Linked DNA regions of Macaca fascicularis. The protein of the gene in region 2 purifies or fractionates together with the protein of the main gene of each other region. This does not show direct contact. Links are inferred from orthologs where the notes say so. Each region holds a gene or a part of one and is shown on either strand. Other genes may lie near its edges.

Region 1 (6,114 bases), on a different chromosome or scaffold from region 2:
GCCTTCAGGACTTTGGCCACATATCGCATCCCGTACCTGGGGACAAAGAAACAGGTGCACTGTGCCTGTGCCTCTGCCCATCTCTCTCTGCCAGATATAAGAGCTTGAGTGCATGGCTGTCTCTCCTCCCCCAGGCTCAGCCACTCCAGAGTGGAGCTCAAGCACTGTCCCTCCACTATACATAGCCACCTCCCTGCTGCCTTCCTCTGAACATCTCTGGGCCTTGTCTATCCCTCCTGCCTTGTGTCAGTAGTCAGGACCAGGGGCCTATTATCTACTAAATGTCTCACACAGCCTCCAACCTGGCTTGAGAACCTCTTCTTTGAGACTCTCTGGTCTCCCCTACAGAGCACTCCAGATCACCACAGTCATCCCCCATCCCCCAGAGGCACTGTTAACCTAAAGCTTGGGTATTTGACACTCACAGCCAAAACCCTGTCCTAGGACAGCCTAGGTGGCTCTGAGGTAGTCAACCTTGTCAGCTGTCACAGAGCACCTGTGAGTGGCCTAGTCTGGGCTAGAGGCAGGGTCCCAAGGAGATCAAGTAGCCAGGAGGAGAAGCTCCAGTTTGGACTCCACCACCAACCAGAGATATTATCTTAGGCTATTTCCTTCCCCTTTGTAAGTCTGTCCCCTGGTCTAGAAAATGGGAATGATCATTCTTGCCCTCTCTTCTCACAGGGTTTTTTGAGGATCAAGTGAAATTATGTCTGCGAGAGTAATGCATAATGGTAGAGTACTATTCAAATGTGCTAGACTTCATTATCATTATTCTTCTTATTATGGATGTGCCACCTACAAATGTAATTAAATTCGTTTAAAAGCAATTTCCCCTCCTAGGGTACCAGAGACAGAAGTTTACAGCTCATTGTGTACTTTCCTTTCTTAAGCCTAGAACAATCTTTTCTTACTCCTAATTGTAAACTCTTAATCCAGTTCTCCAGGTTTGGGGAGCAGGGTTATGAACTCTATGGGTTCCCCCTTTCAGCATCCTCATCTTGCCCTGGGCACTCCAGCCTGGGCAACAGAGTGACACCCTGTCTCAAAAATAATAAAAAATAAAGAAAAACAAACAAAAGAATGAAATCCTGCCATTTTCGACAACATAGATGAACCTAGAGGTTCGTGTTAAGTGACATAAGCCAAACACAGAAGGACGAATACTGCATGATCTCACTCATATGTGGAATCTAAAAAAGGTGATTTCACAGGAGTAGAGAGTAGAATGGTGGTTACCAGAGCCGGGGGAGGGCAGGAGAGGGGGAGAGAAGATGGGGAGAGGTTGGTCAATGGGTACAAAGTTATAGTCAGGCGGGAAGAATAAATTCTGGTGCTCTATTGCACAGGAGGTGACTATAGTTGATAATAATGTATTGTATATCTCAAAATAGCTAGAAGAGAGGATTTTGAATGTTCTCACCACAAATAAATGTTTGAGGTAATAGATATGCTAATTACCTTGATTTCATCATTCATTGCACAATGTATATATGTATCAAAACATCACACTGTACCCTATGAACATGTACAATTATTATGTGTCAAAAAATAAATGTAGAAAACCAAATGTATTGACTAAATTTAAAGAAAAGAGAGAACTATAAAGTACTTTATGGGCTTAAAATATTTATTTTTGATATTAGGATCTGAAGAGTCCCATTTTCTCCTCATTTGCTCTTAGATAATAAAGTGTCCCTGAGATCATTTTAGGGTCCCTGCTCTGGTTCCACTGACATCTTACCAGGCCACATGCAGACCTACATGCCATCTTTCAGCTCAGCTGTCTAGCAGGAGCTTGGAGCATTCCCCACATCTCTCCAGGAACCCCTCTGAGTACCCCTGGCTCTATCTCCCTCCCTGCCTTCCTCCCTGCAGGACTATCACCCTGCTCTGCTCCCCATGGTGGCCTGGCCCTCTCAAAATCCCATGTGTAGGCTGGGGTGGGGCTGTTGCACATACGGAATTTGGTCCACAGATGAAGTAATGGCTACAAGGAACTTATCAGTCATGGCGAGGAGGTTGCGTAGGGCGATATCCAGTTGTCTCTGGACCTCGGGGTGGCTCAAGGCCTGCTCCGGGGTGACATCATACGGGAGATGGCTATGAGCAGAGAGAGACAAGGTATAAACAGGAGCACCCTCCAATGGCCTCCTTCCCCAAGGCCCTATTCCTTAACCTCTTGTCTAACAACAAGATCTTATACAGATGTGCTAAGGACAGCTCAGCATGCTAAAGGAGAAAGGGCCAGAATGAGAGTAAGGACTGGAGAAATGCAATCGGGAGGTGAAGAAGAGTTGGAGTATCTACAGGGAAGCTGGAAGAATGTAGGAAGGAACAGAGAACCTGGAATCTATGGACACTTCTAAGGGGAACAGATGACAAGCAGGCGGCTGCGCTGCAAATAGTCTTTGGGAGTTTGGAATAATGGAGAGGCTGGGCCAGAGCCTTATCGTTTCCTCACTTAAAGCCTCCTGTGCCATCCAGAACAGCCACCAGGATTGCCTGCTCGCCTCCATGGCTATGTTTCCCTAGCACCTAGAGACCTGAGCAATGACCCCAGGCGATAAGGGCAACCTATTTCTCCCACTATCTCGTTTGCCTATTCATCTATAAATAGAAATATTCATCTATACCCCTATAAATAGGAGTCCATGTCCTAACTCCCAGCAATTTTTTTTTGGTAGGGGGGACAGAGTCTCACTCTATTGCCCAGAGCTGGAGTGCAGTGGCACGATCTTAGCTCACCGCAACCTCTGCCTCCCAGGTTCAAGTGATTCTCTTGCCTCAGCCTCCCGAGTAGCTGGGACTACAGGAGTACGCCACAACACAAGGTTAATTTTTGTATTTTTAGTAGAGATGGGGTTTCACCATGTTGGCCAGGCTAGTCTCAAACTCCTGACCTTAGGTGATCCGCCCACCTTGAGCCCCCAAAGTGCTGGGATTACAGGCGTGAGCCACTGGGCCCAGCCCTACTGCCAGCAAATTTGACACATCATTTGCAAGCACTGACATAGCAATTAAGCACATTTGCATATTCATCTGTACTCATTTTAGTTAAGCCCACCAGGTCTGGAGTCATTTACATTAGTTTCATGTTAATTATCAGAGGGGGTCTAAAAGACTACCTTATTCATGCCTAAAAAGCTGGTATCATATTTGCATAAATCAGCACGCCCATTTATATGCCACCTTCAAAGTACCCCCAAGCTTCCCCAGTAGGGTCGAGACACAGCTGATCAAAAAGAGCTCTCCCTCTGCCCATGTGCTCACCTGCGCTGCCCTGTCTGGGCCTCAGTCTGGTTGATCCAGTTCTTATAGAGGTGGACAGGGTCTGTGTGGACGCTGAGCACTTTGTCCTCTAGCACATCCTGGATAACCTTGCCCAGAATCTCCTGCAGGGCACTCTGTCCCCGCCCATTGCGGTAGAATCTCACCACCAGCCTCACCACTGTTGGGTTGCCTGTCACCACGTCCTGGGGCTGCTCCACCTTTGACCTGTGGTTTAAGAGGTCATTGAAGCTAGTCTTCTGCCTCTGTGTAGGACAAACCGTTACTTTTCCTTTTTGAGATTTTGGCTCTCAAAGCCTGCCCTGGTGTCCCTGCTCTTAAGGAATGTCTTGATATCTCTCTCATCCTTTGTGTTAGCATGTCAGCCCATATCCTCCCACTGTGCTGTCCCAGATGTTTTACAGTTTCTCCACAGGAGGCAGAGAACAGAGGTCTTCTGATTCCATTTCTACCCTTAAGCCTCAACAAGCTGTCACCTTGTGAAGAAGCCAACAGGGGCATCTCTTAACCCATTCTCTCCCCATTCCTTTGTGTCTGGAGAGCCTACTTGACTTCCTCCTGGAGTGCTGTCTTGAACAGCTGGAGCAGGAGATAGGCCTCTCGGCGGCTGGAGGCATAGTTGTACAGGCTGAAAATCACTGCCTCCATGAACTTGGTGGTTTTGTTCTGTGGCATCTGAAAGATCAGCTTGGCCAGGTAGATGGGCTGAGTCTGCAAGCAAGAGGGGAGACAGGAATGGCTGACCATGTACTTCAAGGACCAGTGATAGGATAAAGAAAAGTTTTCCCTCGATGGAAATCTGGAATGGAGAAAGCACTACCACACTTTCTCCAGGTGCTAGTGACATTCCAGACAAACAGGGGAAGAGGTAGTCTCTTTTCCTGGGGATAAGGAATTAAGATTATGGGAAAGGACACCTTGCATGGTGTCAAAGGCACAAACAAGAAGGCCTTGAAGTCTCAGACCCTCAGGAGATGGGAGAGACTTCTCCTTGGAAAGTCCTCTGCTAACCTGGAGCAGGTAGAAGAGGTGTTGGTATGCTTCTAGTTTCTGCCGTTTCTCTTTGCTCAGTGACTTTAATCCCTTCTGCTTGTCCAGAACCATCATATCCGACAGCTGTTCCTTATTCCTCTTGGTCAGCTTCTTGCAGTGGGAGACCACTTCCTGCAGGGGTGGAGGAATGGGTGATACAACCAGCCTAGGCCATCCCAGGGCACAGAACGTATGGTCCAGAATCAGTGCCTTGAAGAGCCAGGGCTTTCTGCTGTTCAAGGAACAGGCATAAGCTGGGGGAGAGAAGCAGTTCTAGGGTGAGGAAGGGCCCCTCCTAGTGCCCTGAGACCCCATCTGGTTCCTCTCCTGTCATGGGAGTGAGTCTCCAAAGAGAATTGGGTTGCCAGGCTGAGGAATTGTGTCTATTTGGCTTTTGCTATCACTTCTTATTAGACTGCTACACACATTTGAGGTGGAGCTATCACTATGTCACTATTACCCTGTCACTGCATATTTGTATGGTAATTTATGATTTAAAGAGCTTTCTTATCTATCTCTATATTTGGCCTGGAGAGGCGGACATTCTCATTATTCCCAGTTTGCTAATGAGAAAACAGACTTAGAAGTGAAATGAGCACCCACAGCCCCATCCCTAGGAATCAGCAGAGCCGGGCATTCTGATTTTAGGTCTCATGCTCTTTCTACTCTGTCATGGGTCCCCCGAAATGATTTATTAGAATGGCAGAGGGCCACTGGAACAAGGAACTGAGTCAGGTGATAAAATCCACACCATTTTGAAAAAATTGATTAGCAAACAGAGAATGGTCAGCATCACATCTCCAGAGGTAGACAGATCTGGGGAAGGGGAGGACTGGTGGGCCCCACACCTGCAGAGTGATCCGGTTCTTCACCAGCAGGCCAATCTTGATGTCCATGATGTTGAGGTCCTGCTCCAGCTGCTGATTGGATCGGATCTTCCTAACTACCTCTTCCTGGAGCTTCAGCAGCTCTGCCTCAGCCAAGAAGTCCTGCTGGCTTTGATTCAAGAGATGGGCAAATCTGCGGACCACACTGAGAGGAGGGTGGGGTGCATGCACTGGGAGGAAGGGAGGAGGCATCAGGATTAGGCATGTCTCATCAGAGGCCTCCTTGCCAGTCCCTGCCCCAGAGTTAGCCCACCCCAGTCCCCGTTCTGCTTGGAATCAGCAGGTCCCCAACCCCAGTCGTCTTCTAACTGGTTCTGCTTGCACTTGGAGGGCAGTGGGTAGCCTCTTAGCCAGGCCTGTCCCTGAGCCCCCTGTCTTATAACTGGAGATGACATAATAGCTGCTCTTCCCCTACTTCTGATTCACCCCAGCCTGGGCCTATCCCAGGGACCTCTGACACCAAAGCCAGAGACACAGCTCCCTCTGATTATCCTCCCAGACCTCCCTTGTCTACCGCAATTTACCACTTACTTCTGCTGGGCCAACCTGCCCCTCCTCCTACCTGCCAGCCACCACTCAGCCCTGCTTGCCCTCACAGTGCTCCTCTGTCAGGAGTGTCTGTACACACCAGGAAGGACAGGTAGATGGGATGGACAGTGGGCTTTATAATATAGGAGAGGTCAGAGCTAGCTGGTGATTCTCCTTGAATCACCTTTGGAATTAGTATTTGAGCAAAAAAGAAAGAAGCCTCTGAGCTAATTTATTGGAAATAACAACAAAACAACTAATACATAGAATGTTTACTATGAGACAGAAGCTGTTCTAAGTGCTTTACACACTTAAGACCACCTGTGAGGTCAGTACACTATAACTATCCTCTCTTACCAATGATAACTCTGAGACTCAG
Region 2 (6,114 bases):
ACCGTGTTAGCCAGGATGGTCTTGATCTCCTGATCTCGTGATCCGCCCGTCTCAGCCTCCCAAAGTGCTGGGATTACAGGCGTGAGCGACTGCGCCTGGCTGAATTTTTTTTTTTTTTTTTTTAATTAAGTAATTTTGCTCACGCCTGTAATCCCAGCACTTGGGGAGGCTGAGCTGGGTGGATCACTGAGGTAAGGGGTTTGAGACCAACTTGGCCAACATGGTGAAACTCCGTCTCTACTAAAAATACAAAAGTTAGCTGGGCATGGTGGCACATGACTCTACTCCCAGCTACTCTGAAGGCTGAGGCAGGAGGATTGCTTGAACGTGGGAGGCGGAGGTTGCAGTGAGCCGAGATTGTGCTACTGCACTCCAGCCTGGGCAATAGAGCAAGACCCTGTCTCCAAAAAAAAAAAAAACAAAAAACATGTGTTTTTATAGAGCTACGTCTTGCTCTATTGCCCAGGCTGGTCCTGAACACTTGGTCTCAAGTGATTCTCCACCTTGGCCTCCCAAAGTGTTGGTATTACAGGCGTGAGCCACCACACCTGGCTCTTTTGAATGTTTACTGTACATTTTTAGTCTCCTGTGAATTGTTTGTTTAAATCTTATTTTTCTACTGAAAATTTTTTTTTTTTTTTTTTTTTTTTTTTTTTGAGACGGAGTCTCACTCTGTCGCCCCAGCTGGAGTGCAGTGGCGCGATCTCGGCTCACTGCAAGCTCCGCCTCCCAGGTTCACGCCATTCTTCTGCCTCAGCCTCCCGAGTAGCTGGGACTACAGGCGCCCGCCACCACGCCCAGCTAGTTTTTTGTATTTTTTATTTTTATTTTTATTTATTTATTTTTTTTTGAGACTGAGTCTGGCTCTGTCGCCCAGGCTGGAGTGCAGTGGCCGGATCTCAGCTCACTGCAAGCTCCACCTCCCGGGTTTACACCATTCTCCTGCCTCAGCCTCCAGAGTAGCTGGGACCACAGGCACCCGCCACCTCGCCCGGCTAGTTTTTTGTATTTTTTAGTAGAGACGGGGTTTCACCGTGTTAGCCAGGATGGTCTCGATCTCCTGACCTTGTGATCCGCCCGTCTCAGCCTCCCAAAGTGCTGGGATTACAGGCTTGAGCCACCGCGCCCGGCTGTTTTTTGTAGTTTTTAGTAGAGACGGGGTTTCACTGTGTTAGCCAGGATGGTCTCGATCTCCTGACCTCATGATCCGTCCGTCTCGGCCTCCCAAAGTGCTGAGATTACAGGCTTGAGCCACCGCGCCCGACCGAAATTTTTTCTTACTGATGGAACATTTCCTTCTTTCCCTCCCCACTCCCTCTGTCCCTCCTTCCCTCCTTCCTTCTCCTTTCTTTTCCCTTTTCTTTTCTTTTCTTTTTTTTTTTTTGAGATGGGATCTTGCAGTATTGCCCAGGCTGGACTTGAACTGCTGGTCCTTCCACCTCAGCCGATTGAGTAGCTAGACTATAGTCATGCTCCACTGCACGTGGCCTGATGGAACGTTTCGTAAATAATCCTTCTCAGTCTGTCATTTGTCTTTGATCTTCATTGTGGTGTCTTCTGCCGTATAGAAATTTAGCATTTAATGTAAATAATACCACATCACTTGGGCGTGGTGGCCCATGCCTTTAATCCCAGCACTTTGGGAGGCTGAAGCAGGTGGATCACGAGGTCAGATTGAGACCAGCCTGATCGACATGGTGAAACCCCATCTCTACTAAAATACAACAATTACCTGGGCGTGGTGGTGCACACCTGTAATCCCAGCTCCTCAGGAGGCTGAGGCAGGAGAATCGCTTGATCCCGGGAGGCGGAGGTTGCAGTGAGCCAAGATCGCGCCACTGCACTCCAGCCTGGGTGACAGAGTGAGATTCTGTCTCAAAAAAAAAATAAAATAATAGTAATAATACCACCTCTCCCTCAGAATTGTATGTTGTATCTTAGAAAGGCCTTTCCTACTTAAATAATGCAAAAGTATGCTCTAGTATTTTTTCTAGGTTTTTTGTGGCTAAAATTTTTATCTTTAATCCATTTAGAATTTATTTTTGGTATAGAACGAGGCAAGGACCTGATTCTTTTTCCCTTATAGGGGAAAGAAAGTCACAATACCATTTATCCTATAATCTTTTTTTTTTTTTTTTTTTTTTTTGAGATGGAGTCTCGCTCTGTCACCCAGGCTGGAGTGCAGTGGCCGGATCTCAGCTCACTGCAAGCTCCGCCTCCCGGGTTCACGCCATTCTCCTGCCTCAGCCTCCCGAGTAGCTGGGAGTACAGGTGCCTGCCACCTCACCCGGCTAAGTTTTTGTATTTTTAGTAGAGACGGGGTTTCACCATGTTAGCCAGGATGGTCTGGATCTCCTGACCTCGTGATCCGCCCGCCTCGGCCTCCCAAAGTGCTGGGATTACAGGCTTGAGCCACCACGCCCGGCCTATCCTATAATCTTTTTCTTATGGAAGCATAATTACCATGTCTGTCACTATCACCTTTTCTTTCTTTCTTCTTCCTTTTTTTTTTTTTTTTTTTTTGAGACAAAGTTTTGCTCTTGTTGCCCAGGTTGGAGAGCGATGATGTGATCTTGGCCCACTGCAACCTCTGCCTCCCGGGTTCAAGTGATTCTCTTGCCTCAGCCTCCCAAGTAGCTGGGATTACAAGCACCCGCCACCACGCCCCGGCTAATTTTTGCAGTTTTAGTAGAGACAGGGTTTTCTTCATGTTGGCCAGGCTGGTCTCAAACTCCTGACCTCAGGTGATCCACCCACCTCGGCCTTCCAAAGTGTTAGGATTACAGGCGTGAGCCACCGTGCCCAGCCTCTGCTTTTTATTGTATTTTTCCTTTTCTTTTTTGCCTTCCTGTCCAGAGGAAACACTATTCTTTTCTAAAGCTTGGTTTCTGCTGACCAGTAGCAGTTTTTAACTTGGGTCCGATTTCCTTCTGTCAGCCTGTAGGCTTTGCTGGGTTACCTCTCCTGACTAATTTGTGTAGCAACTTCATGTGAATTTGTTTTTTTTTTTTTTTTTTTTTTTTTTGGGAGACGGAGTCTCGCTGTGTCGCCCAGGCTGGAGTGCAATGGTGTGATCTTGGCTCACTGCAAGCTCCGCCTCCCGGGTTCACGCCATTCTCCTGCCTCAGCCTCCCGAGTAGCTGGGACTACAGGTGTCCGCCGCCACGCCCGGCTAATTTTTTGTATTTTTAGTAGAGACGGGGTTTCACCGTGTTAGCCAGGATGGTCTGGATCTCCTGACCTCGTGATCCGCCCGCCTCGGCCTCCCAAAGTGCTGGGATTACAGGCAAGAGCCACCGTGCCCGGCCAACTTCACATGAATTTAAATATTTGTGTCATCAGGTACACTCACTTTGAAAATGTTATTGGGAGGCTTGTTAAGGCAAGTGTCTTTTGTGTTACTGTTCTACACTCAGGCCTTCTGGAAACCCTGCAGAGGGTAGCTCTAGTGGCCAGCTCTCTTGTTGAAAATGAGTGACATAAGTACATGAAAAACCCAACAAGGAGGATTTGAAAGCGGGGCTAATTTTACACTTACTTCTTCCTGGGATAAAAGTCTTAAACTTTGTTTAAAGTGAAGTGTATGTATTTCTGACAGTGATTTGTTTCACTTAAATAGCTTGTTGTTTGTTTCTTTCATTTTTCTTTCTCAAGTTTTGGGTTGGGTTTGTTTCCCGTGAGTTTTGCCCCTGCCTCCTTCCTCCTCGTGCCTGCAGAGACATTGCTGGTGTGGCATCCTCCAGGCCCGTCCCCACCCTTTTTCTTGGCACACCTTCTCTAGGATGGCCAGGACAGTGACTTAGGTTCCACATCTGTGACTAACCATTTTCATTCCGTTCTACAGCTTTGACAATTACTCTGCCAATGTTATGGTAGATGGAAAACCGGTGAATCTGGGCTTATGGGATACAGCTGGACAAGAAGATTATGACAGATTACGCCCCCTATCCTATCCGCAAACAGTAAGGATTGCAGCTGATTTTTAATGTGTCTTTTTTAGAGTATATAATTCTCGAGCGTTTAATTAGTGCATGTTACCTGTGGACTTGCTTATATTGCCATCATTTGGATATTGAGTAAATAGCAGACGGGGCGGAATTAGTTCCGTATAAACATCCCCCTAGATGGCAGGGGTTTTGTGTTTTGAGCGTTAACAGCTGTTCCATTGTTGGGCATTTTACAGTCTTCCATTTAGCTTCAGAATAACCGTATGAAAGGTGCTTTTTGTTTTGTTTTGTTTTTGCAAATCAGTTTTTAACACCAATTGGTTTGAAGACAAGTTTGCTGTGTGACAGTTTTGTACCGCAGAATCAAATTAAGCAGTTAAGATTCGGGTTTCTTTAAACCAAGTTAGTAACTAATCTTACAGGTTTAATGCATTTTTTCCCACAAAATACATAATTTGTATGGCTATAGAACCTAAATCTATTCAATGTAGATTGAGGTTTTGGTTTTGTAAAATGTATCCACTGTGTCCAATCAGAAAAAAAAGTTTAGTTTTTTTTTCTGTATCAGACAAAAGTGATTTATTTATCAAAGCTAATTAGAGCAGTAGCTGGTGAAAATGGGTACTTAGAAGACATTGTTGTGGTTAAAAGTTACTTTTCTTTAAGCAGTTGTTTTACTTGTGTATCTTTTGCTGATCTTGTTACATGTTTGTTCTTCATTTTTAAAAGTGTCTTTGGAAGCAAAACTTAAATATGCTTGAGATTCCTTGGGTGGATATCCTGTGTGCATGTCCTATCCTAGCTCTGTGACCTCAGGCAGGCCTCTTCCTCTCTCCAGTCTTTGCCTGTGTCCTCGTAGGGTGAGATGAGTACATGTCACGCACCCCTAGCAGTCCTGGGCACACAGCACACACTGCGGGCCAGCCGCTGTCAGAATTCTCCTGCTCCTGAGTGTGCGGGTGGGTCAGCCTAGAGAGCGCTGCTCTCCACGTTGTGCCCAAACGAGTGGCAGTTGTGTGGGTGCTCGGCAAACCTGGATTGGCCGGAGGGATTGGGGTTTGGGGTTGAATTGAGGTGAGGAAGACTTCCTAGAGAAAGGCTGGCTTTGAGCCCCGATTGATGATGAGGCAGCCTGTGGTTTTAGGGGGTATTATGGATGAAATAACTTAGTAGTTAAATCTACTGTATTAACAATCAGTCTATAATCCCCAGACAATTCAAATTCTTCTCAGTACCTTAGGAAACTATACCCAGTGGATGTTTACTGATTCAGATTGTAAATGGATTTAAAAACATACTGACTGGTAGAGTAGGAGTCTCCAGCCCACTGGACACATGTGGAAGGGTGTGGTGTCATTCTGAGAAATGAGAGCCACCCTGCTGTGACTCAGGGGGTACCGGGCAGGGCGCGGCCTTTCTCTAAGGGACGCCTCACAGTAAGTCAAGGGTGACTTGGCAGGAGTCCCACTTTGTGTTCTGAGGAACAACAGATGAGGAAGGAGAACTCTCCTCAGCTTGAACAAAGCTGTAGAGTGTGAGGCCTGGTATGAAAGCAGGTGTCCTCATAGGGCTAGCACTTAAACTTCATGTCTCCTCTGTGTGAGACCATGGACTGCTTTCCTAGAAAATATTTGAAGAGCAAGAAGGGAGTGAGACATGGTTCTTGCCCTCAGGCAGTTCACGGAAAAGTACCATAAATCATGTAATACACCCTGTACCAGCAAGGGGGTGAACGGGGCGCTTAAGGAGCAAGAGGAACGAGCACCCACCCAGCAGTGGAAGGCTTCCTGCCCGGACTCCTTCAGAGATAAGGAAATTATCTTGACAACTCAGGGCAGGCCACAAATGCTCAGACACCAGTGTCTGGAAGGCCTCATCCCTTTGGGCCACACGGTGCTAAGAAGAACAGGATCTGGGAGCAACATGCTGGCACCTGGGTCTCTTGTGGATACAGGTGAAACCTCTAAATTTTGTACTAAATGGAATGTGGTCCCTGGTTGCTGGCTCTGTGATCTGCAGACCTGTTTATGTAGCTCATCCAAGACTGCTTAGACACACTCCTGAAGGACCAGTTGGAAGATTTCTTACCTAGGGCGTCCTAAAAGAGATATTACATTTCCTGTGGTCATTTCACGTTGGCATCCTTCTCTGTTGGGTAGCTCTGTCT

What was found. Proteins that work in one complex are often made in the same cells at the same time.
Region 1: the proteins of RAC1 (region 2) and IQGAP3 purify together in Homo sapiens (affinity purification with mass spectrometry; 3 studies listed by BioGRID and IntAct, with this or other methods). This does not show direct contact. The link is inferred for Macaca fascicularis from reciprocal best matches to the Homo sapiens genes RAC1 and IQGAP3.

What each region holds. Positions count from the first base shown.
Region 1 is NC_088375.1:104,534,726-104,540,839, reverse strand, and holds part of IQGAP3 (ras GTPase-activating-like protein IQGAP3), read right to left. Parts: intron 5,378-6,114; coding exon 5,169-5,377; intron 4,453-5,168; coding exon 4,300-4,452; intron 4,000-4,299; coding exon 3,836-3,999; intron 3,496-3,835; coding exon 3,271-3,495; intron 2,101-3,270; coding exon 1,960-2,100; intron 37-1,959; coding exon 1-36.
Region 2 is NC_088377.1:45,973,862-45,979,975, reverse strand, and holds part of RAC1 (ras-related C3 botulinum toxin substrate 1), read left to right. Parts: intron 1-3,844; coding exon 3,845-3,962; intron 3,963-6,114. UniProt on the Homo sapiens protein: Plasma membrane-associated small GTPase which cycles between active GTP-bound and inactive GDP-bound states.